4 linked regions of the Pelodiscus sinensis genome follow. The protein of the gene in region 3 purifies or fractionates together with the protein of the main gene of each other region. This does not show direct contact. Links are inferred from orthologs where the notes say so. Each region holds a gene or a part of one and is shown on either strand. Other genes may lie near its edges.

Evidence for each region.
Region 1: the proteins of SNX9 (region 3) and DNM1 purify together in Homo sapiens (co-immunoprecipitation; 6 studies listed by BioGRID and IntAct, counting the BioPlex papers as one, with this or other methods). This does not show direct contact. The link is inferred for Pelodiscus sinensis from reciprocal best matches to the Homo sapiens genes SNX9 and DNM1.
Region 2: the proteins of SNX9 (region 3) and DNM3 purify together in Homo sapiens (co-immunoprecipitation; 3 studies listed by BioGRID and IntAct, counting the BioPlex papers as one, with this or other methods). This does not show direct contact. The link is inferred for Pelodiscus sinensis from reciprocal best matches to the Homo sapiens genes SNX9 and DNM3.
Region 4: the proteins of SNX9 (region 3) and SYNJ1 purify together in Homo sapiens (co-immunoprecipitation; 3 studies listed by BioGRID and IntAct, counting the BioPlex papers as one, with this or other methods). This does not show direct contact. The link is inferred for Pelodiscus sinensis from reciprocal best matches to the Homo sapiens genes SNX9 and SYNJ1.

Annotation. Positions count from the first base shown.
Region 1 is NC_134732.1:11,330,144-11,337,507, reverse strand, and holds the start of DNM1 (dynamin-1), read left to right. Parts: upstream 1-4,350; 5' UTR 4,351-4,616; coding exon 4,617-4,777; intron 4,778-7,364. UniProt on the Homo sapiens protein: Catalyzes the hydrolysis of GTP and utilizes this energy to mediate vesicle scission and participates in many forms of endocytosis, such as clathrin-mediated endocytosis or synaptic vesicle endocytosis as well as rapid endocytosis (RE).
Region 2 is NC_134719.1:64,104,214-64,112,102, forward strand, and holds the start of DNM3 (dynamin-3), read left to right. Parts: upstream 1-4,886; 5' UTR 4,887-4,935; coding exon 4,936-5,081; intron 5,082-7,889. UniProt on the Homo sapiens protein: Microtubule-associated force-producing protein involved in producing microtubule bundles and able to bind and hydrolyze GTP. Most probably involved in vesicular trafficking processes, in particular endocytosis.
Region 3 is NC_134713.1:112,089,940-112,097,433, reverse strand, and holds the start of SNX9 (sorting nexin-9), read right to left. Parts: upstream 3,008-7,494; 5' UTR 2,840-3,007; coding exon 2,828-2,839; intron 2,208-2,827; exon of another isoform or gene 2,193-2,207; coding exon of another isoform or gene 2,184-2,192; intron 1-2,183. UniProt on the Homo sapiens protein: Involved in endocytosis and intracellular vesicle trafficking, both during interphase and at the end of mitosis. Required for efficient progress through mitosis and cytokinesis. Required for normal formation of the cleavage furrow at the end of mitosis.
Region 4 is NC_134711.1:182,895,593-182,902,954, forward strand, and holds the start of SYNJ1 (synaptojanin-1), read right to left. Parts: upstream 3,014-7,362; 5' UTR 2,963-3,013; coding exon 2,868-2,962; intron 2,818-2,867; exon of another isoform or gene 2,353-2,817; intron 1,470-2,352; coding exon 1,324-1,469; intron 1-1,323. UniProt on the Homo sapiens protein: Phosphatase that acts on various phosphoinositides, including phosphatidylinositol 4-phosphate, phosphatidylinositol (4,5)-bisphosphate and phosphatidylinositol (3,4,5)-trisphosphate. Has a role in clathrin-mediated endocytosis.

The sequences.
Region 1 (7,364 bases), on a different chromosome or scaffold from region 3:
GAATTTATAAACAGAGCGTACACACTCCCAAGCTTGTTATTTTGAAATAACAGGCTGCAGAATTTGAAATCTCTACTCCTGCTTTTCACCAGGAATAACGTTAATTCTGAAATAGTTATTTTGAAATAACAGTAGTGTGGACGCTCCAATGTCACCATTTCAAAATAATTACTCCCCAGAGTAATTCAAACTAATTACTCCCCAGTACTTCCTGGGGCTCTAAGTCTAAGGTACTGTGTCCACATTAACGGACCCTGGTTTGGACTAATTTCAAGGTTTCCCCATAGTATGGACACACTAGTTTGAATTTGTTAAATCAGGAGTTATTAAGTCGCATTTACTAATTTCAAAATAGATTCCTAGTGTAGACACCGTCTTTTTAAATAACTCAGAGCATCTGATCAAAGTGTTGTAGCACTGACTAAGCACTTGAAAAAGTGTATATATTCTCCTATATTGATAAACACCTAGCCTGTTCCCCCAATCCTTCCTCAGGGTTTATATTCTTGTCTATTTATAGACGTCTCTTGTATACACACAGGCTCAAGAACATGAACCACCTGGTGTAGGGTTACTTTATAACCTGATTGCCTGAAGTTCTGAACATTCACATCCAGTTGAAGTCAGTGGGAGCTGTGGGTGCTTAACACCTCTGAAAATCAGCTGTTTATTAGCAGGAGCCAAATTGTAATAGTGTCTCCTCTTTGTATTTGGTTTGGTCTGGTCAGGGCCAGATTAACCCATCATTGGGCAGTCGGCAAACATACACTTATGGGCCTCTGACTTCTAGTCTAGTGGTTTTCAAACTACTGTTCATGACCCAGTACTGGGTCAGGCACTGGGTCTCCTTGCTGCAGGGGGATCAGGTGACCAGTGGAAGTGCTAAGGCTGGCTACCAGCCTGTCCTGGCACCACAGAAGTGGCCAGCAGCAGGCTTGGCTCCTACGTGGTGGTGGGGAAAGCGCACAGGACTCTGCACACTGCCCCTGCCCCGAGCATTAGCTCCGCACTCCTCTTGACTGGGAACCTGCTGCTGGTTGTTTCTGGGGTGCAGCATGGTCTGTAGTGCCAGCGCAGGCAGGAAGCTGCCTTAGCACCCCTGCTGCACCGCTGACTGAAAGCAACTCAAAGTAAGCCCCTCCTGCCACAGCCCTGTCACCGTCCCCCCTCAAAGCTGGAGCCCCCTCCTATATCCCAAAGCTCTCATCCTCAGCCCCATTCCACAGCCCACACTCTAGTCAAATTATGTCAGGTTGGAGGCAGGGGGGAAAGTAACTTACATTTCTTACAGGTACTGTCCTAACACAACCCAAGGGAGGGGGCTTATAGCAAAAGTTGTGATACAACTATACCTGTAAGAAATTTAAGTGTGCAGTGGAGCACCGGGGCGGGGGGGGGGGGGCGCTCAGGGCAGAAGGTTGGGGTGGGCAGAGGTGCAAGAGATAGGGAAGGAGGCTGGAGATGTGGGGGGTGCTGGAGACAGGGTTGGAGTGATGAGGGGCTTGGAGCAGGGGTTTTGGATGTATGAGGGGCTCAAGGCACAGGGTTGGAGTGTGTGTGTGGGGTGCAGGAGTGTTATGGCAGGGGCTGGAGTGTATGAGGGGCTCAGGGCAGGAGTTTAGGGTATGTAGGGGTACAGGAGTTAGGGCAAGGGGCTGGAGATGTGGGGCTGCAGGAATCAGAGCTGGAATGCATGAGGAGATCAGAGCAGGGGGTTCAGGTGTATGAGGGACTCAGGGCACAACATTTGGAGTGTATGGGGGGTGCAGGAGTGTTAGGTCACGGCAGGACAGGGGGTTGCCACCAGCCCTTCCTGCAGCCAGATGGGAGCTGGACCACTAAGCCTGCCTCAGGATGGGGGCCAGAGACAGGCTGTTGCAGCCAGATGGGGGCTGAGCCCTGATTGGGGCCTTGTTGGCCAGGCGGCCAGGGCAGGAACTAGGGATGTAAAAATTTAGTCGATTAACAGATAAGCAAAAGCTTATAGGTTAATGCTGTAAGCTACACGCATTGTGCCCCCCGCCCCCCCACTTGCCAGTAAATTATTTAGCAGACTGGCCAGCAGCCCGGCTCAGTCCTGGCTTGTGATGGGTCCGGGACCTACCCCCGCTGCAACTTTGCATTTAAAGTGTATTAGGAGCTGGGTAGGCAGGCAGCCCAGCTCAGTTCCGGCTCACGCCAAGTTCAGAAGCTCAGACCACTCCCTAGACAGGGGCTGCTGCCACCCCACACTGCTGCCTCTTTATCAGAGGCAGCAGCACAGGACAACAGGTAGCTGGTCCACAAGGGGAGCTAGTTTTTAAACTGGCTTCTCTCATGGACCAGCTCCCAGCTGTCACCCCACGCTGCTCTCTCTGATACAGTGGCAGTAGCACAGAGTGGCAGGGGTCTTCTCGGGAGTGAGGCTGGAGAGTACTGGCTGCTAGCCTTGCCCCCAGGGACTATACAACAGTGGACTAACTGATAAGAATTCATGAGGTTACTCAACTATTCAATTCACCAATATTTAACATCCCTAGTAGGAACCTGAACTCGGCCACAGGGGCTGAGCTCCTGCAGCAGTCGCTGGGCTGCCAGAGCTAAGCTGTGAGGTCTGCCCCAGGAGCACAATGGCTGGGGACAGACTACAGAGGTTAGATGGAGGTTGGAGCCCCCACCACTAGCCCCTCTCACTAACCCAGTTGAGAGTACGCACACATCCCTTACAGCGCGCCTTCAGTTGGTCCCTCTACATGAGCTGAGTGCCCCAGCCGGCTCTTGCCAGAGTGCAGTCAGTGCTTACTGCAGTGGTGCACCGAGGCATACTTCCTTACACTCTGGTTGCAGGCTCAAGTGATTTTCTTCAACTGAGCCATGAGAAAAAAAGTTTGAAAACCACTGTTCTAATTTGAATAACTACAAACAGCTGACATACACACCATCATTGGTCAGTCTACAGTATAAGAGCTCTTCCTGAAATAAGGCAGAGTATAAAGAACTCACATCAGGCCTGTGGTATCTTCCAAAGTTGTGTGTAGCTTGAGAGCCAAAGGTTATCGGTAATTTAAATTCTAATTTTATGAAACATAAATATGAAAGTAAGATAGCTGAGTGAGAACTCACGAGAAATCCTGTTGTTGCATCTCTGGCTCTTCTCCATCCCTCTGGTTATATATTAGTCAGATTTTTAAGACATGAATGTCAGTTGTTGCCACAGTGCACTTTCAGCGTTCTTTTGCAAGCCTTTTCTAAGGGAAACACAAATGTGTTAATTTAATTTCATATCTCCCGTGGAACAGAATGATCAAAGTGATGATTTCTGGAACACAGACTCACTCAGAAGGAAATGCCTCTTTTTATAATGTTAAACTGACAGATGAGGATAAAATCCAATATTCAAATAGTTTGATGGTGCTACTCCTTGCAAAAAATGTTAATAGCGGCCATCAAATACATTCAATTTTATGTACATTTTAGAATTGCTGATTACAGCAAACCTCTTATCAAGATTGTGGGGGTGGGGCGGACTTGGACTGCAAACAACATGACCAGAGTGAAATTACTTACCTGTAAGGAATATTTTTGTTTTTCCAACAACACTTTCAGTTTAATTATGGCTGTAAATGTTATTTTTGTAAAAACATTATTTTGCAAACTGAGCCAATTAGTTCCTCTTTATTGTCTCAGACTGTTAAAAGAAACAGTGGAAACACATATGATTAAACATTTCCTTGCATTTTTTGTAAATCAAACAGCAACAATGTCTAGGGCATTATAACCAGAAATTGAAACGGACTGGGAACAAAACAGCAGAAATTAAACTGCAGAAACAATTAAAAGTAAATTAAAAGTAAAATTAAAAAAACCCCTTCTACTTTAATTATTAGTAAGCTAGGTACGTCCATTTACAAGAACAGAGATTATTTACAAAGATGTAATTTAAAAACCATTTAGCTATTAATTGCAGTTTCTCTTGAATATTGAAAGCACAGATTTGTGTGTGTATGGGGGGGAGTCTGTTGTTTGGGAGGAGTGAAATATTTCTGGCTTTTTCATTACAAATATATCAATAAATATTCAGATCCTCCAGGTTTCACATTTTGGAGGATTGATTTGAATACCAATTTTGAACCCCTTTTACGATGGAGGATTTTTGCCGTGTTTCCATCAGACCCCGGCAGACTCCCTTGTTCTTAATGTCCCTGTATAGGAACAGATCCCAGGCTATTGAAGGCGGATACTCTCAAGACGCCTGGCTCCCAGCGTAGCTCCCTTCTCAACACCTTTACGTTTACCTATACGAACTACAACTCCCATGAAGCTCTCGGAGCACAGTAGGGCACGTAACACCCCCTAGCGGTCGCTGATGCTACGTGCGCTTTAAATCCCGTGAGGAGCCGGGTGGCTAGCGGTGCTTGAGCTGGCAGTCGGGGTGGCAGCCCTGCTGCAGAGACCAGGGACCTAGGTTAGGCGGAGTGAAGGGGAAACAAACGCACCGCCCAGCTGAGGGCTGGGGACAACCCCTGATGAGGACTTGGGGGGCCAAAGCCCAGCAGTAAATCCTTTGCCAGGGAAGCGGGCGGAGAGAGGCGTCTGCATTGCAAGCCCAGCAGCGAGAGCCCAGCAGAGCTGCAGACATGGGGAATCGAGGGATGGAAGACCTCATCCCCCTGGTCAACAGGCTCCAGGATGCCTTCGCGGCTATCGGTCAGAATGCAGACCTGGACCTGCCCCAGATAGCCGTGGTGGGCGGACAGAGCGCCGGGAAGAGCTCAGTGCTGGAAAATTTTGTGGGCAGGTAAGATTTTTAAAATGCAGCCGATTATAGGGGAGGTTATGGGAGCAATGCATTGCTCAACGGACATGCCATGCAATGCTTAATGCAGTGCAATACAGGACAGAGGAGGGGGGCCGATCTTGCCCTCTTCAACTTGAGGTTCTTGGGAGAACCGTCATCCTAGCCCCTGCTACACACACACACACACACTGCACCCTACAATGCAGATATCAGGCGTCTCTGTGAACAGTGACATTCCCTGGATTGTCACCTTCACTAGCAAGAGAGCCCTCTTCCCCTCAGCATAGAAGTGCATGTGTGTGTTTGTATAAATGTCTGCTTTGAAATGGTAATATCTAATTGGGAATTGATCAATGGCGGGCAGCATATTGCTTGGTGGGCTGGGAGGGGTGAGGTGGAGAGTGAGTGTGAAAGAGGTTGAGGGAAGAATGCAGCATCAGGCAAATCCTGCTTTTGGAGTGACTAATGCACAGAAGAAGCCATTTGTTTGGGGGTGGAGAGGGAGTAGGAAGGAACAGAGCTGATGTGCTGCCCACATCCCAGGGGATTTAATGGTTTTAATCCTAAATCGTTTATTTATTTATTTTTGGGAGCTACATACAAGAAGGCAGAATCCTGGGGATGAGCAAGAAGCCAGGATGGTGGAATTCTCCCCCCCCCCCATCCCCCCCCCCGCTGTTGGAGGACAATTGCTGTGGGCACTGGCAGGGTGGGGAGGAAGGCACTGCTTCAAGGGGAAAACGAATAACATAAATGGCTGCATATAAAAAAATCATGGAAATCCAGTAAAGCACAGACTAGTGCTCCATATGTTATGTAATGTCACGGACAGAAATGTCAGGGGGAAAATAGCCACACTCTTGTGTGTCCTTTATTTTTATCACGTCAAAGACCTGCGAGCCAGAACCAAAAATGATACAGGTTCCACATCTTTTTTGGCAATGTATTATCTAAGGTGATTTAAAAAAATACTAATCAGTGAATATTGTGTGTGCAGATAAATAATTGTATAAAAACCTGTTAATACCAAGATGCCCTTTAGCCATGGTGATCTGAGGACTAGCTCCATCAAGACTAGATTTCTTGTTTGCTTTAAGTTTCACCCTGAAGAATCCCACAAGAAAATGCTAGGAAGATTGGATTCACATAGCATGTCCTCAGCTCCTGATTATACCTGGCTAGATATAGGACATGCCTTGAACCACACGCAGCTACCTAAAGATGGATGTGCTTGTTGTGAGGCTGTGCAGCAGTGGACTTTAAGTTCAATTTCATTTTCCCCCACCCCTTTCTCTGTCCTCCATAGTGGCTGCCATGTCAGGAGCTGGGGGGAGAAGCAGAAAAAGCAATGGTTATTCCCCTACGTGTTCAACTCCCTGGGTGCTACCATTTTGTGACCGTGATATTCTGGTGCTTTCCCTTCATGTGACCTTCACATTAATCACCAGCAGTTTCAACAAATACCAGATGATCAGGGAAGGTGGTCTGCACACACATAGTATACACAACACCTGGAGTGTATCCTGAGCTTGTTTGTAGCTTGCTTAAGCTATTGTGGCCCTGGCTTGCTATAATCCTTCCCTATTAGGCACTGCTATCCTTTATGACCAAGATACAGGTTAGTGCTGATTTCCCTGGGAGGAATTACTTTCTTCCACCAACTGCATTCTCCCTCTTCTTCCCCTGCTTTATTGCATGGGCACTCTCCTTCTCTTTCGCCCCTACTAGCCCCTGCACTATGACATCTGCTATTTTATAGCTCTATTATCATTGAAAGAGTCTGTCATGAGCCCAAATAGCTCCAGTTTTTGTGGTATTTGAACAGAGTAAGTCCAGTATGCTGTACAGGGGCTCAGGTGACCCTGAGCAATGAGACTCAGTATGGCATTAGGAAGATGCCACTGCTGCTGTTTTTGAGGAACAAGAAAACATAGCAGGAATCAGAGTTGTTTAAATAAAATCTCCCATTGTCACATACTCAAAAGAGCCTGAGATTCTTCTCTGCTGATTTTCAATGGTCTATTTCAGAGATTCCATTCTGAATTAGTGTACCTGGGAATCAGGATGTGGGAAGGCTGTCCAGAAGCCTCCGCTATAATTATGGTTTATTTGTATTACCACAATACTTAGGAGCTCCCATCGTGGAGCAGGACCCCATAGTGGTAAGTGCTGCACAAATACCAGAACAAAAAGATAGTTTCTGCCCTCAAAAGCTTACAACCCACTGTGATCAAACCTGCTGGGAAGAGAAAAAGGGTTCCCAGAACTGTTACTGAGCAAAACCTTGGTTAGCCCGTTGAGTTTGTTGCTGTCATGGTCCCCCCAAATCTATCTTTTGTGGAAGTTCTATATGGTGACTACAGCAAGGATGTACCAAGTGTGTTCATTGAGCAAGAGCTGTTTCAGAGCAAATAGCTCCTTTCTTTTAGATAGAGCAAGCAGAAGGGGACAAATTGTAACTTCACTGATTCCAATGCAGAGCTTGAGCTTAGCGGCTTGACGGAGGGTGAATGAACTGAATTATATTATCCATAATTTGCCAGTGACCTTTGTCTCAGTAGGGCTCATGACCTCACTACATCCTATC
Region 2 (7,889 bases), on a different chromosome or scaffold from region 3:
TTTAAAATAAATGTCTGTTGCCCCCGGCCGAGGTGGAATTGAGGAATCCGGGCCCTGCGTGAGGAGGGGGAGGGGACCTGGCCGGCATGAGGGGTGGGCCAAGGGGGCCAAAGCTGCTAGGCTGGGAAAAGGCGGGAAGGCCTACTTACCACAGGGGGCTGCCTGGGCCTGTCTGACCCCCCCATCTGCCTCCAGGCTCTGGGTCTACCTGACTCACCGTGTGCAGCCTTGTCACTCGCCCTGCCTGCCCTTAGTACTCAGCACCCCCTGTTCCACCCCAGCTCCCCCTGTTTTGGGGCCCTAGATGAGTGGGTGGGAGCAGAGGAAAAGCTGAGGTACTCTGGCGCGCACGCCTCTGTGAGGGCAGTAGAACTGGGTCCTGTGTGGTGCTGTTCATTGCCGCTGTACAAAAGCATCTGGGGAAGGTCTGAGGTCTTTAAAAATGCTCCCAGCCAGCACCGGCCTGCCCTCCGGAAGCCTTGAGGTAGTGCTGTGTTCTCTAGGGGCTGGGCCCATCGCCTTTCTCAAGCTAGAAAGCTCAGCTGCCTGGTCTGCAAGAGAGACTTTCAACTCCTCCCTTGCCCCCGCCTGAAACGTGCCGGTCCTGCACTGCTGGTCCCTCGTGAAGTCCCACGAGCCGCCCTGAGGGCTTGTTGGCGGGGCCTGAGCAGCTGTAGAAATCCGCCCCGTTCAGGGCTCTATTACTCCGGGATGGAGGCGTAGTGTCTCCTGTTCAGACCAGTGCCCCAGCACGGTGCTGGTCTGGGTGATTGTCTGAACCCAGCTGTTCGGTCTGGGCCTTAGAAACGTATATGGACCGGCACCAGAGCTGTTGTAAATCTGTCCTGCCCCCGCCATGGGTGGAGCTGCCCCGGGGGGCCTGGGCCCCTGCGACCAGTGGAGCCAGGTCGTTGGGGCAGCTGAGGAGCGGGGGGCATGGCAGCTGTCAGCCCACATTCCAGTCCTCTGACTCTAAGACCACCAGGGGCCAAAATGAGCCCCAGTATAACACAGAGCCCCCTGCGCTGACTCTGAGTGCCGCAGGAAGGGGGGCGGCTGGTCCGGCTCCCAGACATGGACACGTCCTGGCTCTAGTGCATTTCCCGGCTTGGCTTGTGGATGTGCACACACCCTTCCCCCTTCCCCCGGTTGAACTCCCCACGTGTGGGAAGGGTGGGCTTACACGCTGCCATTGCCTCGTTGACTCCAGGCTTCCACCTCCATGCTGCCCAGGTGCAGCGGGTGCAGTCTGGAGCCTGACTGGTGCCTCGGGGGCTGGGCTGTGGGCAGCAGCAGAGGGAAGTTCTTTGTACACATCGGCCCCCGAGGGACTCCTCTAGGCAGTCCTGGGCTGCGACGACTCATTGACTGTGCACAAGCCTCTGCCGCTCAGAGGAACACCAAGGGCGGCCACGCAGCTGGGCTGGCGGTGGGCACGCGCCGGGGGCTTTCCCATGTGGCCGCTTCCGGCTCCTAGAGGAATGCTGGCTCTGGGCTCTCCGGCATGGAGCAGTTCAGGCTTCCTTAAAGATCCCTCATTAAATAGGAGCAGGGGTTGGCCCTGCAGTCCTGCTACCCCAGCCAGGTGGGGATAGAAAACCACCTTCCTCGGAAGTCTGTTGCATCCACTGGAGCTGGCATGTCTGTGGCCGCCTTGTTCTCCTGGGGGTCTTTCCGAGCTGTTGCCTGGTGTTGAGTTGAATCTTTTTCTGAGTTGAATTGTAGGTTCCTGTCCCTGCATCACTGTCCTTTTCGGTCATGCTCTTTCTATCATTGCTCCCCTTGCTTGGACTTACGATGAGGTCACATTAGCATAGGGCTGCATTACGCTCTCATATTGGATTGCGGCTGCTCTTGGGGAGGGGTGTGATAGTCCAATTGACCCTGCAGGCGGGGGTCCGAGTGCTGCAGGCTTTCCCCCCTCATGTTTGGGAGTGGGCCGAGCTCCCAAAATTGTATGTAGCGGTCTGTGTGCGTAAGGCGGTACTGCTGGCCCCTTCGGCCTGGTCTCCTGTGCAAAACCTGGCGCTCAGCCTGGGTCCATCCCGCTTTGGGGCGCAGGAGTTTTGCAGGACTTCTCCCATGAGATGAGTGTTTCCCACCTGTCTGATTCCCACCTTCCTCCCTTCACACACTGGCTGCCCAGCGCTCGCCCCTGCCAAGTGCCGGGGGCAGCTGAATGCCAACAGCTGCACACCGCAGCTGCCGGATGGAAGCGAGAGCCTGGCACGTTTCCCTGCGGATGCCACTTGCCACTTTCCCAGCCTGCTGCTTTCACACAAGCGATGCGCTGGGCCGGCAGGAGCCCAGCACGGTCCTAGGGGGGCCTCCCCCATTCCCCCAGTTCAGGGCCGGGGAGGGGGATGGTCTCAGGGGAGAGGCTGCTGCTGGCCCTGATCCCCCTCGCTACGGGGCGTAACGCCTGTGCCCCTCTGTGCCAGCTGCGCCCCCCCGGCTGGGTGTACAGCGCCCTGCACCCCTCCCGGCCCGGGCCCCCGCTGACCCCCGGGCTGGGTGTGCAGCGCCCTGCGCCCCTCCCGGCCCGGGCCCCCGCTGACCCCCGGGGCTGGGTGTACAGCGCCCTGCGCCCCTCCCTGCCCGGGCCCCCGCTGACCCCGGGGGCTGGGTGTACAGCCCCCTGCGCCCCTCCCTGCCCGGGCCCCCGCTGACCCCCGGGCTGGGTGTACAGCGCCCTGCGCCCCTCCCTGCCCGGGCCCCCGCTGACCCCCGGGCTGGGTGTACAGCGCCCTGCGCCCCTCCCTGCCCGGGCCCCCGCTGACCCCCGGGCTGGGTGTACAGCGCCCTGCGCCCCTCCCTGCCCGGGCCCCCGCTGACCCCCGGGCTGGGTGTGCAGCGCCCTGCGCCCCTCCCTGCCCGGGCCCCCGCTGACCCCCGGGCTGGGTGTGCAGCCCCCTGCGCCCCTCCCTGCCCGGGCCCCCGCTGACCCCCGGGGCTGGGTGTACAGCCCCCTGCGCCCCTCCCTGCCCGGGTCCCCGCTGACCCCCGGGGCTGGGTGTACAGCCCCCTGCGCCCCTCCCTGCCCGGGCCCCCGCTGACCCCCGGGGCTGGGTGTACAGCCCCCTACGCCCCTCCCTGCCCGGGCCCCCGCTGACCCCCGGGGCTGGGTGTACAGCGCCCTGCGCCCCTCCCTGCCCGGGCCCCCGCTGACCCCCGGGCTGGGTGTACAGCCCCCTGCGCCCCTCCCTGCCCGGGCCCCCGCTGACCCCCGGGGCTGGGTGTACAGCGCCCTGCACCCCTCCCTGCCCGGGCCCCCGCTGACCCCCGGGGCTGGGTGTACAGCGCCCTGCGCCCCTCCCTGCCCGGGCCCCCGCTGACCCCCGGGGCTGGGTGTCCAGCGCCCTGCGCCCCTCCCTGCCCGGGACCCCCGCTGACCCCCGGGCTGGGTGTCCAGCGCCCTGCGCCCCTCCCTGCCCGGGCCCCCGCTGACCCCCGGGCTGGGTGTCCAGCCCCCTGCGCCCCTCCCTGCCCGGGCCCCCGCTGACCCCCGGGGCTGGGTGTCCAGCCCCCTGCGCCCCTCCCTGCCCGGGCCCCCCGCTGACCCCCGGGGCTGGGTGTCCAGCGCCCTGCGCCCCTCCCTGCCCGGGCCCCCGCTGACCCCCGGGGCTGGGTGTCCAGCGCCCTGCGCCCCTCCCTGCCCGGGCCCCCGCTGACCCCCGGGCTGGGTGTACAGCCCCCTGCGCCCCTCCCTGCCCGGGCCCCCGCTGACCCCCGGGGCTGGGTGTACAGCCCCCTGCGCCCCTCCCTGCCCGGGCCCCCCGCTGACCCCCGGGCTGGGTGTACAGCGCCCTGCGCCCCTCCCTGCCCGGGCCCCCGCTGACCCCCGGGCTGGGTGTACAGCCCCCTGCGCCCCTCCCTGCCCGGGCCCCCGCTGACCCCCGGGCTGGGTGTACAGCGCCCTGCACCCCTCCCTGCCCGGGCCCCCGCTGACCCCCCGGGCTGGGTGTACAGCGCCCTGCGCCCCTCCCTGCCCGGGCCCCCCGCTGACCCCCGGGCTGGGTGTACAGCCCCCTGCGCCCCTCCCTGCCCGGGCCCCCGCTGACCCCCGGGCTGGGTGTACAGCCCCCTGCGCCCCTCCCTGCCCGGGCCCCCGCTGACCCCCGGGCTGGGTGTACAGCGCCCTGCGCCCCTCCCTGCCCGGGCCCCCGCTGACCCCCGGGCTGGGTGTCCAGCGCCCTGCGCCCCTCCCTGCCCGGGCCCCCGCTGACCCCCGGGCTGGGTGTACAGCCCCCTGCGCCCCTCCCTGCCCGGGCCCCCGCTGACCCCCGGGCTGGGTGTCCAGCGCCCTGCGCCCCTCCCTGCCCGGGCCCCCGCTGACCCCCGGGCTGGGTGTACAGCGCCCTGCGCCCCTCCCTGCCCGGGCCCCCGCTGACCCCCGGGGCTGGGTGTACAGCCCCCTGCGCCCCTCCCTGCCCGGGCCCCCGCTGACCCCCGGGCTGGGTGTACAGCGCCCTGCGCCCCTCCCTGCCCGGGCCCCCGCTGACCCCCGGGCTGGGTGTACAGCCCCCTGCGCCCCTCCCTGCCCGGGCCCCCCGCTGACCCCCGGGCTGGGTGTACAGCCCCCTGCGCCCCTCCCTGCCCGGGCCCCCGCTGACCCCCGGGCTGGGTGTACAGCGCCCTGCGCCCCTCCCTGCCCGGGCCCCCGCTGACCCCCGGGCTGGGTGTCCAGCGCCCTGCGCCCCCGGGGGGCTCCTGGCTGGGGTTCCCCGCAGCACCCCACTGTCCCCAGGCGGAGCCCCGCGGGCACTGGCTCCCCAGCCAGCGTGCGGGGGCGGGGCCCGGCGGCACAGGGGGGCGGGGCCCGGCGGCACGAGGGGCGGGGCCCGGCGGCACAAGGGGCGGGACCCGGCGGCACGAGGGGCGGGGCCCGGCGGCGGCAGTGCGCAGGCGCGGCCGGCCGGTCCCTGTCACGGCGGGATGGAGGGGCTCATCGGGCTGGTGAACCGGCTGCAGGACGCCTTCGCCGCGCTGGGCCAGAGCTGCCTGCTGGGGCTGCCGCAGATCGCCGTGGTGGGCGGGCAGAGCGCCGGCAAGAGCTCCGTGCTGGAGACCTGCGTCTCCCGGTGAGCCCCGCCCCCGGGACCCCCTACGGCCCCGCCCCCGCCACCTGCCCCCCAGCGCCCCCCAAGCGGTGCCCTCTGTCACCCGCGGAACCTGCGCAGGATCTGCCCCCCCGCGGCCACTAGCCCCCCCACCGACCGCGCCTCTGCCCCCGCCAGCCTCTAGCCTCCCCCACCCCTCCCTGACACCCCCCCCGCCAGCCTCTAGCCTCCCCCCCTCCCTGACACCCCCCCCAACCTTCCCCCCACCCTCCCTGACACCCCCCAAACCTTCCCCCCACCCTCCCTGACACCCCCCCCGCCAGCCTCTAGCCTCCCCCACCCTCCCTGACACCCCCCCCGCCAGCCTCTAGCCTCCCCCACCCTCCCTGACACCCCCCCCAACCTTCCCCCCACCCTCCCTGACACCCCCCCCGCCAGCCTCTAGCCTCCCCCACCCTCCCTGACACCCCCCCCAACCTTCCCCCCACCCTCCCTGACACCCCCCACCCTCCCTGACACCCCCCCCGCCAGCCTCTAGCCTCCCCCACCCTCCCTGACACCCCCCCCGCCAGCCTCTAGCCTCCCCCACCCTCCCTGACACCCCCCCCGCCAGCCTCTAGCCTCCCCCACCCTCCCTGACACCCCCCCAACCTTCCCCCCACCCTCCCTGACACCCCCCCCGCCAGCCTCTAGCCTCCCCCACCCTCCCTGACACCCCCCCCAACCTTCCCCCCACCCTCCCTGACACCCCCCCAAACCTTCCCCCCACCCTCCCTGACACCCCCCCAACCTTCCCCCCACCCTCCCTGACACCCCCCCCGCCAGCCTCTAGCCTCCCCCCCCTCCCTGACACCCCCCCCGCCAGCCTCTAGCCTCCCCCACCCTCCCTGACACCCCCCCAAACCTTCCCCCCACCCTCCCTGACACCCCCCCCAACCTTCCCCCCACCCTCCCTGACACCCCCCCGCCAGCCTTCCCTCGGCTCCTCTTGGGTCCCCTCAGACCTCTAGTCTCCCTCATCCCCTCCCTGACACCCCCCCGCCAGCCTTCCCTCGGCTCCTCTTGGGTCCCCTCAGACCTCTAGTCTCCCTCATCCGCTCCCTGACACCCCCCCGCCAGCCTTCCCTCGGCTCCTCTTGGGTCCCCTCAGACCTCTAGCCTCCCCCATCCCCTCCCTGACACCCCCCCGCCAGCCTTCCCTCAGCCGCTCTTGGGTCCCCTCAGACCTCTAGTCTCCCCCATCCCCTCCCTGACACCCCCCCGCCAGCCTTCCCTCGGCTCCTCTTGGGTCCCCTCAGACCTCTAGTCTCCCCCATCCCCTCCCTGACACCCCCCCCCCCCGCCAGCCTTCCCTCGGCTCCTCTTGGGTCCCCTCAGACCTCTAGTCTCCCTCATCCGCTCCCTGACACCCCCCCGCCAGCCTTCCCTCGGCTCCTCTTGGGTCCCCTCAGACCTCTAGTCTCCCTCATCCGCTCCCTGACACCCCCCGCCAGCCTTCCCTCGGCTCCTCTTGGGTCCCCTCAGACCTCTAGTCTCCCCCATCCCCTCCCTGACACCCCCCGCCAGCCTTCCCTCGGCTCCTCTTGGGTCCCCTCAGACCTCTAGTCTCCCCCATCCCCTCCCTGACACCCCCCCGCCAGCCTTCCCTCGGCTCCTCTTGGGTCCCCTCAGACCTCTAGTCTCCCCCATCCCCTCCCTGACACCCCCCCGCCAGCCTTCCCTCGGCTCCTCTTGGGTCCCCTCAGACCTCTAGTCTCCCCCATCCCCTCCCTGACACCCCTCCCCCCCCGCCAGCCTTCCCTCGGCTCCTCTTGGGTCCCCTCAGACCTCTAGTCTCCCTCATCCGCTCCCTGACACCCCCCGCCAGCCTTCCCTCGGCTCCTCTTGGGTCCCCTCAGACCTCTAGTCTCCCTCATCCGCTCCCTGACACCCCCCCGCCAGCCTTCCCTCGGCTCCTCTTGGGTCCCCTCAGACCTCTAGTCTCCCCCATCCCCTCCCTGACACCCCTCCCCCCCCGCCAGCCTTCCCTCGGCTCCTCTTGGGTCCCCTCAGACCTCTAGTCTCCCTCATCCGCTCCCTGACACCCCCCGCCAGCCTTCCCTCGGCTCCTCTTGGGTCCCCTCAGACCTCTAGTCTCCCTCATCCGCTCCCTGACACCCCCCGCCAGCCTTCCCTCGGCTCCTCTTGGGTCCCCTCAGACCTCTAGCCTCCCCCATCCCCTCCCTGACACCCCCCCGCCAGCCTTCCCTCGGCTCCTCTTGGGTCCCCTCAGACCTCTAGTCTCCCTCATCCGCTCCCTGACACCCCCCGCCAGCCTTCCCTCGGCTCCTCTTGGGTCCCCTCAGACCTCTAGTCTCCCCCATCCCCTCCCTGACACCCCCCGCCAGCCTTCCCTCGGCTCCTCTTGGGTCCCCTCAGACCTCTAGTCTCCCTCATCCGCTCCCTGACACCCCCCCCCCCCGCCAGCCTTCCCTCGGCTCCTCTTGGGTCCCCTCAGACCTCTAGTCTCCCTCATCCGCTCCCTGACACCCCCCGCCAGCCTTCCCTCGGCTCCTCTTGGGTCCCCTCAGACCTCTAGTCTCCCTCATCCGCTCCCTGACACCCCCCCGCCAGCCTTCCCTCGGCTCCTCTTGGGTCCCCTCAGACCTCTAGTCTCCCTCATCCCCTCCCTGACACCCCCCCGCCAGCCTTCCCTCGGCTCCTCTTGGGTCCCCTCAGACCTCTAGTCTCCCCCATCCCCTCCCTGACACCCCCCCGCCAGCCTTCCCTCGGCTCCTCTTGGGTCCCCTCAGACCTCTAGTCTCCCTCATCCCCTCCCTGACACCCCCC
Region 3 (7,494 bases):
AAAACAAAAAAGCCCACTTTTCAATTTGTAAATACTGAAAGTTAAAATAAAAAAGCAATACAAAAATTGTGCCTAAAAATTAATAAAAGAAGAATGAAAAATAATTGCTGCTCTTCTGCCCACAACATTAGTTAAATTAGGGACAACATGATCGGTCTTCTGTTTCTGAAGAAGTTTAAATCAGGGAGCTATTTAAAAAAAAAAAACGAGAGCACAACTCTCTACATTTATACAATTAAGTTAATTCTGTACCAGAAAAAAGTAACAATGGCTCTTCATAGCCTTCTTTAAATACAGTGCAGGACCTATTCCACATTGAAATGAACACGATTTGAACTGATTACCCCAATTGCAGAAGTACATATTTGCCAGAAGCAATGCAGTTTTCCCACAAATGACCACATGAAGTGCCCTTTGTGTCCATGGGCACACATATACACACTTAACGCAAGTTAGTCTATACCAAAAATATTAACACTGAGCCCAGTCCATCAACATTCTAAACCTCTGATACATATCAAACCCAATTTTAGGTGTAAGGATAAAAGTTTCAAAAACACCTATTTGATTTGTGATTTAGGCTTCTTATCTAAAGAGTACTGTGACTATAAAATATTATTAATACACTAAATTGGATATGTACAATATACAAATCTGTGACGTATTAAGAATCATATTATCACTATTTTATAGGAACATGGTCTACTACTAACACAAATGAACTTTCTAAGTTGCAGAACTAGTTTATGCAACCCAGCTGTGTCCCAAAAACATTGTTTCCAATACTGTGACATGGCACAATAAGTAGAACACTTGTTTTCTTTAAAGGTACTTTTGAACTTTAAAAAGTTAAAATAAAAAAATACTAATATAGCAAATAAATACTGTTGGAAACTTAGACTGGTTCCAGAAATGCAAAGCTCAATTACTACATTCATTTTCTAATAATATTCAGAAACAGCAAAAACTAATCTCATCATACATTTTAGAAACCATATACACAACTAAAACTCAGACATAACTCCAAATATTGCTAATTCACATGCTACAAAATAACATGGCAGAAGGAAAACAGTATTTTACATAATCTACAAAAAACAGAAAATTATTCAGAAGATACTTTTTTTATATATCAGTTTTTATAAGAGCAATTAGAGATTACAAGTGGCCGATTTATTAGTGGTATTCTTGTTTTATAAAGTGGAACACACACACAAATGCACCACTACAGGGTTTCCTAGTCTCCCGTACCAGACAACATTTCCACAAATGGCATCCGGTTCGTCCGATCAGGAAAGTTGGCAACCATAGCCATTAGAAGAGAATAAATGAATTTATCCTACTGCAATCAAACTCACTTGAAAAGATACCCTCGATATTTGGACATTATCAGGTGTATAAACCCTATTACACTATACACAAAAAACAAGCAATGCTGCCAAGCAAATACACAGAATCATAGTTCCATTGAGCAACTAAGTCTTGTGTTTGATGTTTTTGTAACACAAGTCATTGTATCACATACTAAAGCTATGTTTACACTTAAAATGCTGCAACAGCACTGCTGCAGTGTTCCTTCTGTCTACTGGGAGGTGTCTAAATCAAGGCTTAGGTCACCTTAATTGTGGGTCTTGGGATTTGAAAACCCTTGAGTAACTTAGCTGGTTAACCTAGGTCTCAGGTGTAGACCAGGCCTTAAGACCACAGTCATTTTCCTTCCTGACTGAATGGGAAGTATAGAAAAATACAGGACAGAATGCAAAGTTGAATGACATTCAGATCTCTAGAGATTGGTTCCACGAGGACTTTTTCCAAGGACTCTGAACAGTCACAACTACCACATATGTCAACAGGAGCTGCAGGCACTCAGCAACTCTCAAAAGTAAAGGCCCAAGTTTGTTTGCATGTTTTTTTTTCCCTTTCACAACTGTGAAATTAAAGAGATACGTGGGGCGTTCTTCGGCCCCCAAAGATTTATTTCTTTGTTTTACAATACCGAGTGTGAAGAGAAAGGTGTCCACGCCACTTCTTTGAAAGGTCAATGAAAAATGTGCTTGAATTTAAAAACACTCCCCCAAATATTCCCACCTAAACTATGCCACTACTGGCCACAACAGGAGACCCCAAACAAGACACCGCAATGAAACTGACCAATCTATCCAGACAGGATAAAATGCACACACCCACATCATAAACAGCGAGACACGGTTCAGCTCTTCCAGCTAGTATTAGTCTTCAGGTTAGGCGGCTGTGGTTTATTCGGCGCAGAGAGGGGTGTTTAAACGAGGTGCAGCTGCGGTTAGCACCTCAGGAAGGGGTCCCGTCCGCTCTGTGGGTTACACGGGGCCCGGGCCAGACGCTCGCTGTGGGGCAGCGGGACCCTACCGCCGCCTGCGGGCTCAGGTGACAGGCCGCCAAGAGCGGGCGGAGAAAAAGTTTTCTCTGTTAAAACTTTGCGACGCTGGAAACGCCTCTTCCCGCCTGGCAGGCCCGGGAGCGGGTCCAGGGCCCACGCCAGGCGCGGTCACACGCCCCCCGGGTGGGTGTCTCCTGGAGCGCCCGGCCCTGGCGGTTACACGCCGGGGGGGTTGGGGGGGGGAGGCCACCCCGGGACCTGCCCCCCTCCCCCTGCCCCGAGCCGCCCTCGGGGGGTTGCACCCCCACAGCGCCCTGGGGCCGCCCCCCGCCCCACAGGCGCCAGGGCCGGGCGCAGAGAAGCACCAGCCCCCCCCTCGCCCGTAGGGCCCCTGGGACTCGCCCTCGAGAGGGGGCGCCCCACGCCGCTCGCCCCACCCCCCCGCGGCCCGAAGCGAGCCGGGCCCCTCACCTTGGTGGCCATGGTGCTGCTGGCGCGGGGCTCCCGCCGCGCGTCTCTCCGGCCCGGAGCCGCCGCCGCCGCTGCTGGGCCGCAGCTACTCCCAGTCACAAAGCCACCGCCCCCTCCGGCCGCCGGGCTGCTCGGCACAACCGCGCCGCGCCGGCCGGGCAGGAGCTAATGTAGCACCAGGGCAGCGGCCCGGCCCCTCCCCGCTCGCGGCTCTCCTCTGCCCCCTCGCCTCTTTGTTCGTCCCGCTCTCCGCCCGTCTCGCTTCCCCAAACGCTCCCTGTGCCCCGGCGCACGCTGCTCGGCTGGGCGAGGGCAGAGGATTGGAATCAGAGAGGCGGCACGTGAGGTGCAAAGCCGGAGTTACTGCGGATTGACACCGATTTAATGGCAGAATTTGATCCTGACTATTTAGATTTGCCCCAACTCTCCTCACTCATTTGCCGTAAGCCTCAGTATTTTCTTTGGGTGCTTTGCATCTTAGGCAGTTTGTACAATCGCCCTAGTCACTTAAAATTTTCGGTTTTTAAGGGGGGGGAGTGTTAACATAATTTTTGCTTCAGCCCTTAATGTACTGCAGGGACTATTGGTAGATTCATTTGACACAGCTGACATATTTACCCTCCTACAAAAAGAGACCACCAATGCAAAAGTGAATGCATTTTTAAGCAACTCTTCCCATTGCCAAATATTTCCCAATGCAAATATTTTACTCTCAGATGAGGTGTTTTTTGTTTGTTTTTGCTTTTTCTATGAAAGTAGGTATCCTCCATTCAGTCTTGGAACAGTAATTTCAGAAACCTGGACCTCTAGGAAATGAATCTACTATCACATCAAGTTTCCTCTTGACTTCAGTCTTTTGATGTGTAATTTGTTTGTAAGCTGTGTGTCAGCTGGGCCTCAGCAAGCTGATAGTATTACAGTTACACATAAAAGACCAATCAGGCTTATTGTACTAGACACTATATATTATTATTTATTTATACTTCATGCCATCAGGTACATCTACATAGCCCACAGCAGCGAGCCCCCCAATCCCAGTTCACAGACTTAGGGTTCCACTGCTGATGTAAGCATATTAAAAGTAGCTGTATATATGTTGGAGTGGCAGCTCCGGCTCTGAAGCCCAAAGAGGAGGCTTCAGAGCCCAAACCAAAATGTCTATATGGCTCTTTTAGACATGGTAGCATATGCCCAAGTCTGTTGACCCCCGCTTGGGAGACTCACTGCTACAGCCTGTGTAGAAATACTCCAGGTATCTCAGTTACAGACTAGGACCCCATTGTGCTAGATGCTATACAAATAAAGAACCAAAAAGATAGGCTGTAAGCTCTTTGGGGCAGAGACTAAGGCCTGGTCTACGTGCTTAGGTGTGAAAAATTCACACCCCTGAGGGACATAGTTAATTTGACCTGGTACCTATAGGTCAATGGAAGACTTCTGTCAACCTAGCTACCATCTCTAAGAGGAACTGATGCAGTGCTGTGATGGAAAATCCCCATCGCTGTAGCAAGTGTCTATCCCACAATACTACAGTGGTGTACCTTCAGCTGTGCCACTGTAATACTTTTAGGCTGTGTCTAGACTGCATCCCTTTTCCGTAAAAGGAATGCAAATTAGACATATCACAATTGCAAATGAAGCGGGGATTTAAATCCCTCCTGCTTCATTAGCGTAAAAATAGCTGCCGCTTTTTTCCGGCTCGGAGCTTTGCCGGAAAAAAGCACCAGTCTGGATGCAGATCTTTCAGAAAATAAAGCCTTTTCCAAAAGATCCCTTATCCCTCATTTTAAGAGGGATCTTTCGGAAAAGGCTTTATTTTCTGAAAGATCCGCGTCTAGACTGGTGCTTTATTTCGGCAAAGCTCCGAGCTGGAAAAAAGCGGCAGCCATTTTTATGCTAATGAAGCGGGGGGGATTTAAATCCCCACTTCATTTGCAATTGCGATATGTCTAATTTGCATCCCTTTTACGGAAAAGGGATGCAGTCTAGACACAGCCTTAGTGTAGACATACAAGACAAGAGACCAAAGACAGGGCCTTCCCAAGGGGGGTGCAGGGCCTGATGTTATCCCCCCTCCACCAAGTGCTCTAGTCATAAGATGTGAAGCCTAGGGCAACCTCCCATCACAGACCCTGCCCCCTTTCTATCCGTTCCCTAAGCCCTGTCCCTTCTCCACCTCCTTTCCCCCTTATTTTCTCCTCCGAGCAATGTGGCCTGGGGAGCTTGGTGCGGCAGTAGTAGGGGTTGCCCCACCACCACCACCACCACATGGGTGGTGGGAGCTAGAATGTCCCAGTAGCTTGCTCTGCCCTGCCATGCCACCCTCCCAGCCTGCTGTGTCCCACTTCTCCGCAGCAGCAGGAAGCAGAGTGCAGCGGGCCAGGAGGGTGGCATAGCAGGGTGGAGCAGGTTGTAGGGGTACTCTGGCTCCTGCTGCTGTGTGGTGAGTGCAGGCAAGCCCTGCTGTCACCCCATGCCAAGCCCCTGTATATCCCAGGTCTTTCCCATCTATAGGATGGTTGGAGCGGCCACTGCAGGGCCCCCAAAAGCCTGGAACCCAGGTGGCCACCCCAATTCGTCCTATGAATGGCACAGCTCTGCAGACAGAAGCAGGAGGACAAGAAAACAGAGACAATACTAGTCAACATGACAGCTTATTGTCTCACTCTACAGGGTTACAGTAAAAGACAGTTCTTTTTCCAGTCAATGTATAGGCTAGGGAAAAGCTGCAATAGGGTGAAACAAATTGAGGGGGACAGAATATAATGGCTTTAATACAAACATATTTTGCATAGATTATCTATATGCCTAGTTTGCATAGATAGCTATTTGAGGGTGTATTTTGTTTGGGGTTTGACCAGTAGCAACATCTCAGCTTCAATCCAGTTTTTTAAAAAGTAGTGTAAATGTACAAATAGTCAATGAGTCAAGCATTATTAGTCCTAAAAATCATGTATAATACTGTGAAGCTACAAAACACCTTACATGCATATTTCTGTATCTGAAGTGCTTACAAGCTTCTTTTGCTATGGGTAACTTTTTCCACTAAGCCAGGCAATTTTAACAAAACAGAAAAACAGCATGCCCACAAGTCTTTTAACTTGGAAATGAAGTTGCAACTTTCCCCGCCTTTTATGTAGATAAAGTGAAATATATGGGGTTTTTTCTAGGTATCATATTGAACAGCAGCAATAAAGAACACATGTGGCTGCTGCAGAGCAGAGAAGCAGCTGTTTTACAACAAAAAATGCTGTGGTTGGTGCTACAGTAATAAGAACTGATTAATCTGAAAAATATTTAAACTCCATTTTGATTCTGTTTTTAAATTACTTTGACAAACCAGACAGATGTGCTAAGATGTGTGTATGTTCTAATTGTTTCATTCTAGAACAGTTCTTCAGAATGAACCTCTCATACATAGGAGGAACCTTTCCTCCTAACACTTCAGTGTTTCTCCACTTTGTTCTAAACATCTTGCTCTCTACCCCGATAGCTACTGAAACAACATTTATCTATTATCTTAGATACAAAACAAAGTAATAATTTGCCAGACCTCTTTACACATCTAAAATCTCATCTTTGACTCTAGACAATGTTCCTCCACAAGCTGATCTTAACAAGGAGGTTTATTAGACATGTGTACAGGCAATCAGGTTTTCCTTTGGGGTTTGCCCTCCCTCTCACAGGGGGAAGGAATATTTTGGGAAATTGGTGTCAATTGAGTCTTCCCATGATTATTTGCAGCCTAATAGCCATGTAGACAGAAATGTTTATATGAGGAACTTCCTGGTAGCTGCTCATGTCTACATTCTTATAGGATTTTTTTTATGTGCAGGGGAAATCACAATTCTCTGCCTATCTGAAACCTTCATTATAAGCTAACACAAAAGTCTTAGCACAAACCAACTGCCAATAGGAGACACCTAAAGTGATTTCTAAAACCTTTTGTATTGGTAAATTTTTTGCTGCCTAGCAAGAGTGCTGAGGACTCTCATCCTGATCATAAAAGATTTAACCATGTTCTTAGCTTTAAACGCTTCAGAGGGGTAGCCGAGTAAGTCTGTAACAGGAAAAACTTAACAAACAACAAATAGTCTAATAGCACCTTAAAGACTAACAAAACATGTAGATGGTATCATGAGCTTTCGTGGACATATGAGTAATCCCACTGATTTTAATGAGACTATTCATGTGCCTAAATATTTTGCTGGATAAAGGGAAAAGTACTCAGCACTTTCCTGAATCATGCTCATGTTTTCTATTTGATACATATGGCTTTATCTACTCAAAACCTGATTTGTATTTCTAAAGCCCCATGCCTCAAACTGAGGTATCAATGTGCATTTTAGAAATGAAAAGTCTCCTCTTCTGCATAAAAGCTATTAAGATAGAATTTATGTTGGGTTTTGTTATTGCCCCTCGATAGGGTTGCCAGATGGTTTCAACAAAAATACTAGACACACTTGACATTATAGCACAATCTACATTACATCCTATTTAGAAAATACCACATATTTATATCAGAGGGGTAGCCGTGTTAGTCTGAATCTGCAAAAGCGACGAGGAGTCCTGTGGCACCTTATAGACTAACTGAAGTGTAGGAGCATAAGCTTTCGTGGGCAAAGACCCACTTCATCTGACATGCATCTGACGAAGTGGGTCTTTGC
Region 4 (7,362 bases), on a different chromosome or scaffold from region 3:
AATATTGGCTTTAGCCCTGGCATAGTAGACAAGAAGCTTCCATACTGAACTGGTGAACAGGCAGCTACATCAGACCATGTGAATCACCATAGGAACTCTAAAATCAACACCTCCTCTCATGGCTTTCTATTTCTCCAGTAGTTATCTGACTCTCCAGTAGTTATCCACTGAGATTTAGGGCAGCATCAGAACTTAAATTCACCAAAAAATATCCAGAACTTCCCATCCTGCAGGTTATGAACAACATACCCCAACAATGCCTGGAATCATGAAAAACTTGTGGCCACCTCATGTCTCTGGATCCTGACTGGGAACAGCAAAGCATCTGGACCCCACGTACTATTTCAAACAAGCATAGTATTACTGACCGGATAACGTGCACACAGACTTTTGAGCACGTTGAACTGCATCTGAACTAGGGAAGTAGAGATGTAGAAGTGTATCTGGCTAGACAATAAGTAAATGCTACTCAGTTAACGCTACTGGTTACAAGCAACACCCCACATTTATTTTGGGAGCCAGAGCATGGTCAGTCTGGCTCCATACCGACTCACAATTTTTGTCAACTACACGATTACCAAATTACACACTTCCTAACATCCCTAATCTGAACAAACCACAGAAGATACAACTGCTTGATGCACAAGTGGAAAAAATCAAAGACTCACCTTCATGCAAAAGTATTGATAACATCCAAACTATTGAATACATCATAATTCAGTGCCCCAAACATAGATTCAAAAGTGAATTGGATGATATTCACACCACCACAGAAAAGGCATTGAAATGGCTTAGAGACCTACAACAGCTTCTACCAAATGTTGCTCTGCAGATTCCAAACAAGCGTGAGAGATGAAATGATTCTAAAAACCATCTGTGAATATTTTCATGTCAAGTTACACTGATCATTTTATATAGACTTTACTGAATCTTTATAAAAATGACTGCTATGTAAAAATACCTTTCTTCAAAAATTTTGTTCTTATTAGTAATATAAGATGGACTGCATATATGCATGTTTTTTATTTTTAACAGACCTTGGGAATGGAAATGGACGTTATTATAGATTATTGCTTTGTCTTGCTACTTTCTATAATATAGAAAATAGCAAGACAAAGCAATAATACATACAAAACTGAGGTTAAGAAATGAAAACTATCATAATAGAACAGACTGAACAGTTACTGTAAGAACTGAGAAATGACAGATTAAGGGATATAATAAGTCATTTTCATAATCTGTGAATGTATTAAAAATGAAAATATGTTTGACATGGAAATGCATTTATCAACTTTTCACATTCTACTTAACATATTGACTTACAGAGGACAGCCACAACTCCAGACTCAAACATGAGGCACTCTTCCTTATTTCTGGTTTCCACTATCACACTGAATGGAGGTGGATCCAATTTGTGATAGACACGATATCCTTTGCTGAAAGCCATTTTTCCTTTACCAGAGGCAGACCTGTGCAATACAAGACCATGCCAGTGAAAACTTCCTCTACCTCCAGGGTTCTCACTGCAAAGTAGCACCAACTTCCACCCTGACTCAGTTATTTTAAGAGTATTTAATAGGGGAGGAGACAAGAAGAGTGAAGACATGAAAGGCCATGAGGAAGACAGAATTTATAGAAGGGCTGAATGATTTAAGTTCAGTTTACTCAGAAAAACAGACTCAAGGGATATTTATAGATAAGCATTATCATGAGTTGTTTTTTAGAAAATAAGCAACTTTAAGAAGAGCTTACTTGCAAATTCATTAACAAATCCATTTGTTTTAACAGCTTATTATTTCTTTGATGAGAGGGAGTTATTGACTTAAACAGTGAGCACAAAGAGTGATAACAACCTAATGATGAAAGTAGGTGACTGGGAGTTAAGACAGGTTCCATTTTTTACTCAATTAGTGAGTATGACCAAAGGGCCACTGTCAGAGAGTTTAAGCTCCGAACCTGTTTATTTTTACAAAGCCTAATAGTGATAGAAATGTTTTGGTACCTTGGTGGTTTTAATGGATCTGGGAGTTTTGTTGTTGCGTTTGGTTTGGATTCAAACCCTTCCCTGCATTATCTATTACAACACCGGGCTAGAGAAATTGACTAGAAATTGGAAGGTGAGATTGCTAAAACAGAGCAATTTTTTTTGCCTTTTGCATATTTTCCCTTTTGTTTTTGTAGTTTTTAATTATTTAAATTAACCCAGTGATTCTGAGATCACTGATTTTAGCCAGTCTAAGATGTTATTAGTAGCAAGGGTAGGGCCTTTTAAAATCAGAATAGTTACCCTCTATCCTAGCAGTATCCCCAGAGCCTCTCCATTTCTCAGTTCCCTTGAGGTCCGATATTTACCTGTCTCATCCCAGGAGGCCGGCGGGCACAGAGCGCTCTGCCAAATGCTCTGATGGAGCAGCGGCAGAAGCCCAGGCTCGGCTTATTCCTGTTCGAGGGGGGCAGAGGCGCCGCAGAGGAGCGGCGGGGGCGGGACACGAGCGAGGTCATCCCGGGCCGGGGCTCCCGGGGAGAATGCCCGCGGGCTGCGTGCGGAGATCTGCTCGCGCCACGGGGCAGGGAGGGACCTAGAGCCTCCCCCACGGCAGAGCCAGCCCAGCCCGAGACCCGGGAGACAGGGCAGCCCTGCCCCGCCCCAGGGACGGACGGACCCGAGCACTCCCGCACCAGACAGACGGGCCGTGTGGGTGTCACTGAGACTCAAGGGGCCTCCATCTTGTGCCGCTGCGAAGCCGCTTCCCTCAGCCCCGCGCGGGGACGGTGGCACCTGGGCTGCGCCGCGCAGCCTCCCCCCCGCCCCGCGCCGCAGCGCCCCCGCCCCGCGCAGGCCCCGGTCAGCACCGCCCGGCCCCTACCGGCTTGGCCGCCGCCACCTCCAGGGGCGCCTCCTGCTGCTGCCGGCTACAGCGGCTGCCTCACTTCCGCTCTGGCCCGACCATCTCTTCCGCATTGCGCCGCCCGGGGCCGGAAGTTGGGGGGGGGGGAAAGGGGGCGGAAGGTGGGAACAGCTGAGCGGCGCGCGAGGCAGTGACATGGGGCTGTCACATAGATACGTGGCTCACGAGCCCCCAACTCTGCGCGGAGGGGAAGCTTCTTAACACTCGGCGCGCGCCTGGCGGGAGCTGCGCGGGGAGGGGGGGGGGGGGTGTAAGTAACCGTGCCAGGAACGCGCCCCAGGGAGGTCAGGGCTGCAGGGCCCGGGAAACCCCCTGACCAAGGGGAGCCTCCTGCAGTGTTGACAAGCTCTCCTCAGTTTTAACGTCTCAGGCTCTGAGGAGAATTTGCTTTCCTCCAAAAAGTTTTCTAGCCCCTGCGGTTTCTAAGAAAAGCTTGCAGGGTAACTCTGGTTGTCAGTCCTCCAGGAATTTAAAAAAAAAAAAAAACTTTCTTCATGTCACCTCCAGGAATATCTACAGCCTACTTTGGCAACTCTAATGAAACAGCTGTACCCTATACTCTTTGAGCCTAGAAGGCAAAGAGGAAGCACCCCAACTTTATTTGTAAAGATCTCGTGGTGTTTTAGTCACTTATGGTTACCGAAGATTGCGTTTGCCAACACTTTGTCACAGTTATTCTTAGTAAAAGTCATGTACAACATATGGACAATAAATAAAAATGTATGAAAGTTCGTGTGACCTTTCCTTGAGATTGTGACAAAATGGGGAATGAGGGGTATACTGCACTCACTGCTGTTGCAGTTACAAGGGGTCCCCCACCACAGCACATGCTAGTTGGGAACTACAGGTGACCCCTGGGGCGAGAGCTCCAACCTCACCATACAGGGGCTGAAGAGGAAATTGTCACAGAGGTCCCTGGAAGTCACGGATTTCATGCCATAATTTTAAGCTTACTTATGGGGGGTGAAAATTTGTCATACACTCCCTTGCAGGGCCTGATTCAAAGAATGCTGAAATCAAGAGAAACACTGATTTATGGGGGCTTTTAATCAGTCCCCAAGCAGGTTTACAATATCCTTTAAGACCTGCCTTTCTCAGGGTCAATCAGTGGTGAGATATGCAGTTAGGGAAAGTTGTCATCCACTTTATTTTAAAAATTATAGGCATAAATACAAGTCTGTTGTGTCCTCTTCCAATCATTTATCACTGGTCTCAAGCCCTGCTCCTGCAAATATTTACATTAGTATCTTTACATGTAGTTAAGCTCAATGGTGTGTGCTTAAGTGTGTGCAGGCTCAGGGTCCCTTATTTGTGAACTCTTGAGCTCAGGGACCATGTTTACATCTCATGTGTTTGGACCTCTAGTGAGATAAATGGTATACAATCTTGGCTGAGGCATCTCTCCTATGGAAATACATCATCAAATAAGAATAAAAATGGGAAGTGTCTCATTGGATTTCACAGGGCCTTTACCAGACCTGAATCCAGCAAAGACCTAAGCACACATTTGTAAGCAGCTTCAGAGGGGTAGCCGAATTAGTCTGTACAGTATAAACTTAAAAACAACCAATTGTCTGATAGCACTTTAAAGACTAACAAAACATGTAGATGGTATCATGAGCTTTCATGGGCCCACTTCTTCAGATGACGGGAGTGTTGGATGTCCAGAACCAAAGATAAATAGGGAAGGGGAGGGGAAAGAGGCACTGGATAAATATCAAAGGGAAAGCCAAGCTAGTATGTAACAGGCAAAACTGAGAGTCTGTGAGTACCTAAAGACTGGATAGTTAAAAGGAGATAAGAGCCATTAGTTAGCAATTAGAAAGGAAGAGTACTAACACCAGATTCTACACAGACAAAGCACCATTGGAACCTTCATTGTTTGTTTGGTTGATAATATCCCAGCCATCCGGTATCTCAATTCAGACCATTGGCATGAGAATTAAACTTGTGAAGTGAATTAATTGTAGTTCCAACCCTTCCCTGTGTATTTGGCTTCTGGAATTGGTCTGTAACAAAACAGCAACTTGAAGATCTCTTAATGAGTGACCAGGCAGATTGAAGTGTTCACCAACAGGTTTCTGTATGTTTCATTTACTGATATCTGATTTGTGTCCATTGATTCTTTCCCATACGGACTGTCCAGTTTGTCCAGTATATATTGCAGTGGGGCTTTCCTGGCATAGATAACATTACTGGATGTACAGTTAAACAGGCCTCTGATTTGGTGGCATATGTGGTTGGCTCCAGTGATGAATTCACTTGTATAGATATGTGGGCAGAGTTGGCACCAGGGTTGATTGCACAGCTGAATTCCTGGATGCTTATGATATAGCTGTGTAGCACGGTTACCGGAAAGAATTTGTTTGGGAGGTTCTCTGTGAGTGAGATAGGCCTTTCCCCCAAGGTCTCAGAGCGAGGGATCATTTTCCAAGATAGGTTGTAGACCTGCCAAAGGTCCTGCCTGCTCTGCTCTGGCAGCAGCCTTTTGGGTGACCTGTTCCTTGGTCCAAGGAGCTGCTTTGGCAGGTGAGGCCGAGGGCATGGCAACTCATGCTGGGTACGGAGGAAGGACCCGGCCAGGTGTGGCCCCTGTTGAAAATGCAGCAAAGGAGCCAGGGGAATGCCATACCACAGGTCTCCCCAAGAAAGTGTCTCTGGCATGCGCCGGTGGCCCAGGCCCAGGTGCACTCCCTCAGCCTGCCACAAGCTGGTCTTGGCCATACTGCACCCCCAGACCTTTGGGGACAGCTTGGTTACACTGCATCCCAGTTATTTTCTCAGCTCTTTGGAGCAGCTGCTCTGTACTCTGGGCTCCCTGGGCAAAGCACAAGTGCAGCTTGACAAACTCTCTCACCGCCCTGTTTCCCCCACCCCCATGAGGTTGAAGCATCAGCACTGGCTTCCTGAGAGGGAAGTGGAAGGAGAGAAAACCCTGAGGCTCCCCGCTGTGTGAACAGCAGTATAAGGATGCACTTCAAGGAGGCTTTTCCTGCTGCTCAGCAGGGAATTGAGTGAGGGGGTCACTGGTGCAAGGTCTCTGTGGAGGTGGTGAGTGACAGGGCTTGGGGGGGTCAGGGGTCTCAGATGGGGGAGGGGAGCAAATCATTTTTGTCCATTATGAATATAGTACAGAAATGTAATCAGTGAAACAGTCAACTGAAAGCCTGCATTTTTATTCTTTAAAGTGTTCACTAGTGAGCTGCTCCCGTGTTCACTATATTCACTCACCCCCCTCTCTGTCCACTTCTGCATGAGAACTTGATGACGTTCAGAGAGCGGGGGAGTGTGATGTCATTCTGTTGCCTAGCAGGAAATTGTTTCTTATATATGTACTGAAGGGTATGCATGGAGAGGCATGCTGTGGCTCACCACCCTAGCAACAGCCTGGGGGAGGCTAAGGGGGGGGGGGGGTGAGCTCGGCATGTGGAGTGGAGAGGTGCAGGCATGTGACAAACAAAGCCATATATGGAAAGGTTGAATCTGATTGGTTAAGAAGTTTGTGTTATGTAACCTGTAACCATGTGCTATAAAACAGCAAGGGGAGGGGCTCCTTGCTCGAGGGGCTCTGGCTGATTTTAGTACCAGGGGCTCTCCCTTTGTGCACATTGAATAAAGTATTGAATTGAATTGAATCGAATTGAATTGAATTGAATTGAATTGAAGACCCTTGATTCTGCCCAGCACCTGAGTCTCTGGGAACCGCAAAATCCCAACAGTTTCTTGGCGCAGCGAGCAGGGTGAGAAATATCCTTCAGGATCAAGACCTACAATCAAGTTAGAGGGTGATTTTGTTCATTTTTCATTTGGTTGTGTGTCCCTGACCTGACTGGTGACTCTCACACCTTTTGTAGTAAGTGAAACTGGGTGTTGGAGAATTTAAGGGGTTTGTTGCAGTTTTGTAACATTTTGGTTGCAGTCTTAAGACACTGTACTTAGTGTGGGGGCAGGTTAAGCTGTAAGTTCCTCTGACTAAGTGTTGTTGAAGTGGGAAATCAAAGAGGCCATAAGGACCAACAGTTAATGTAGGGGCAGGTATAGCCATAAGTACCTCTAGTTAATGTGTTGGCTGGCCCAGATCTCCTAATTGGAAATTATTAGTTTGTAAACAGTATTGTATTTAAAGATTTTGAGATTGGAGGATATTTAGGTTTAAAAAAAAGGGAAAGATGAAGGGATTTAGTGATCCACAATATGAAGAGTGTTTAATTAGTGCTTTTATCACTATTGTAGCAGTAAGTTTCTTAGTTTTCTTGTTGAGATATCTTGGCTGTGTGACTGAAAGAAAGAAGGATGACCAACCCCCATTACAAGTGGGCAATACTGATTTTGTGCATAAACCACAATATTTATCAAAGGACAAATTGGCTGGCATGTGTTTAATTGTTGATTATGAACAGCTGGTTAGAAAGTGCAATATGCTAAAAGGAAGGATAGGAGAGTTAGAAGCAGA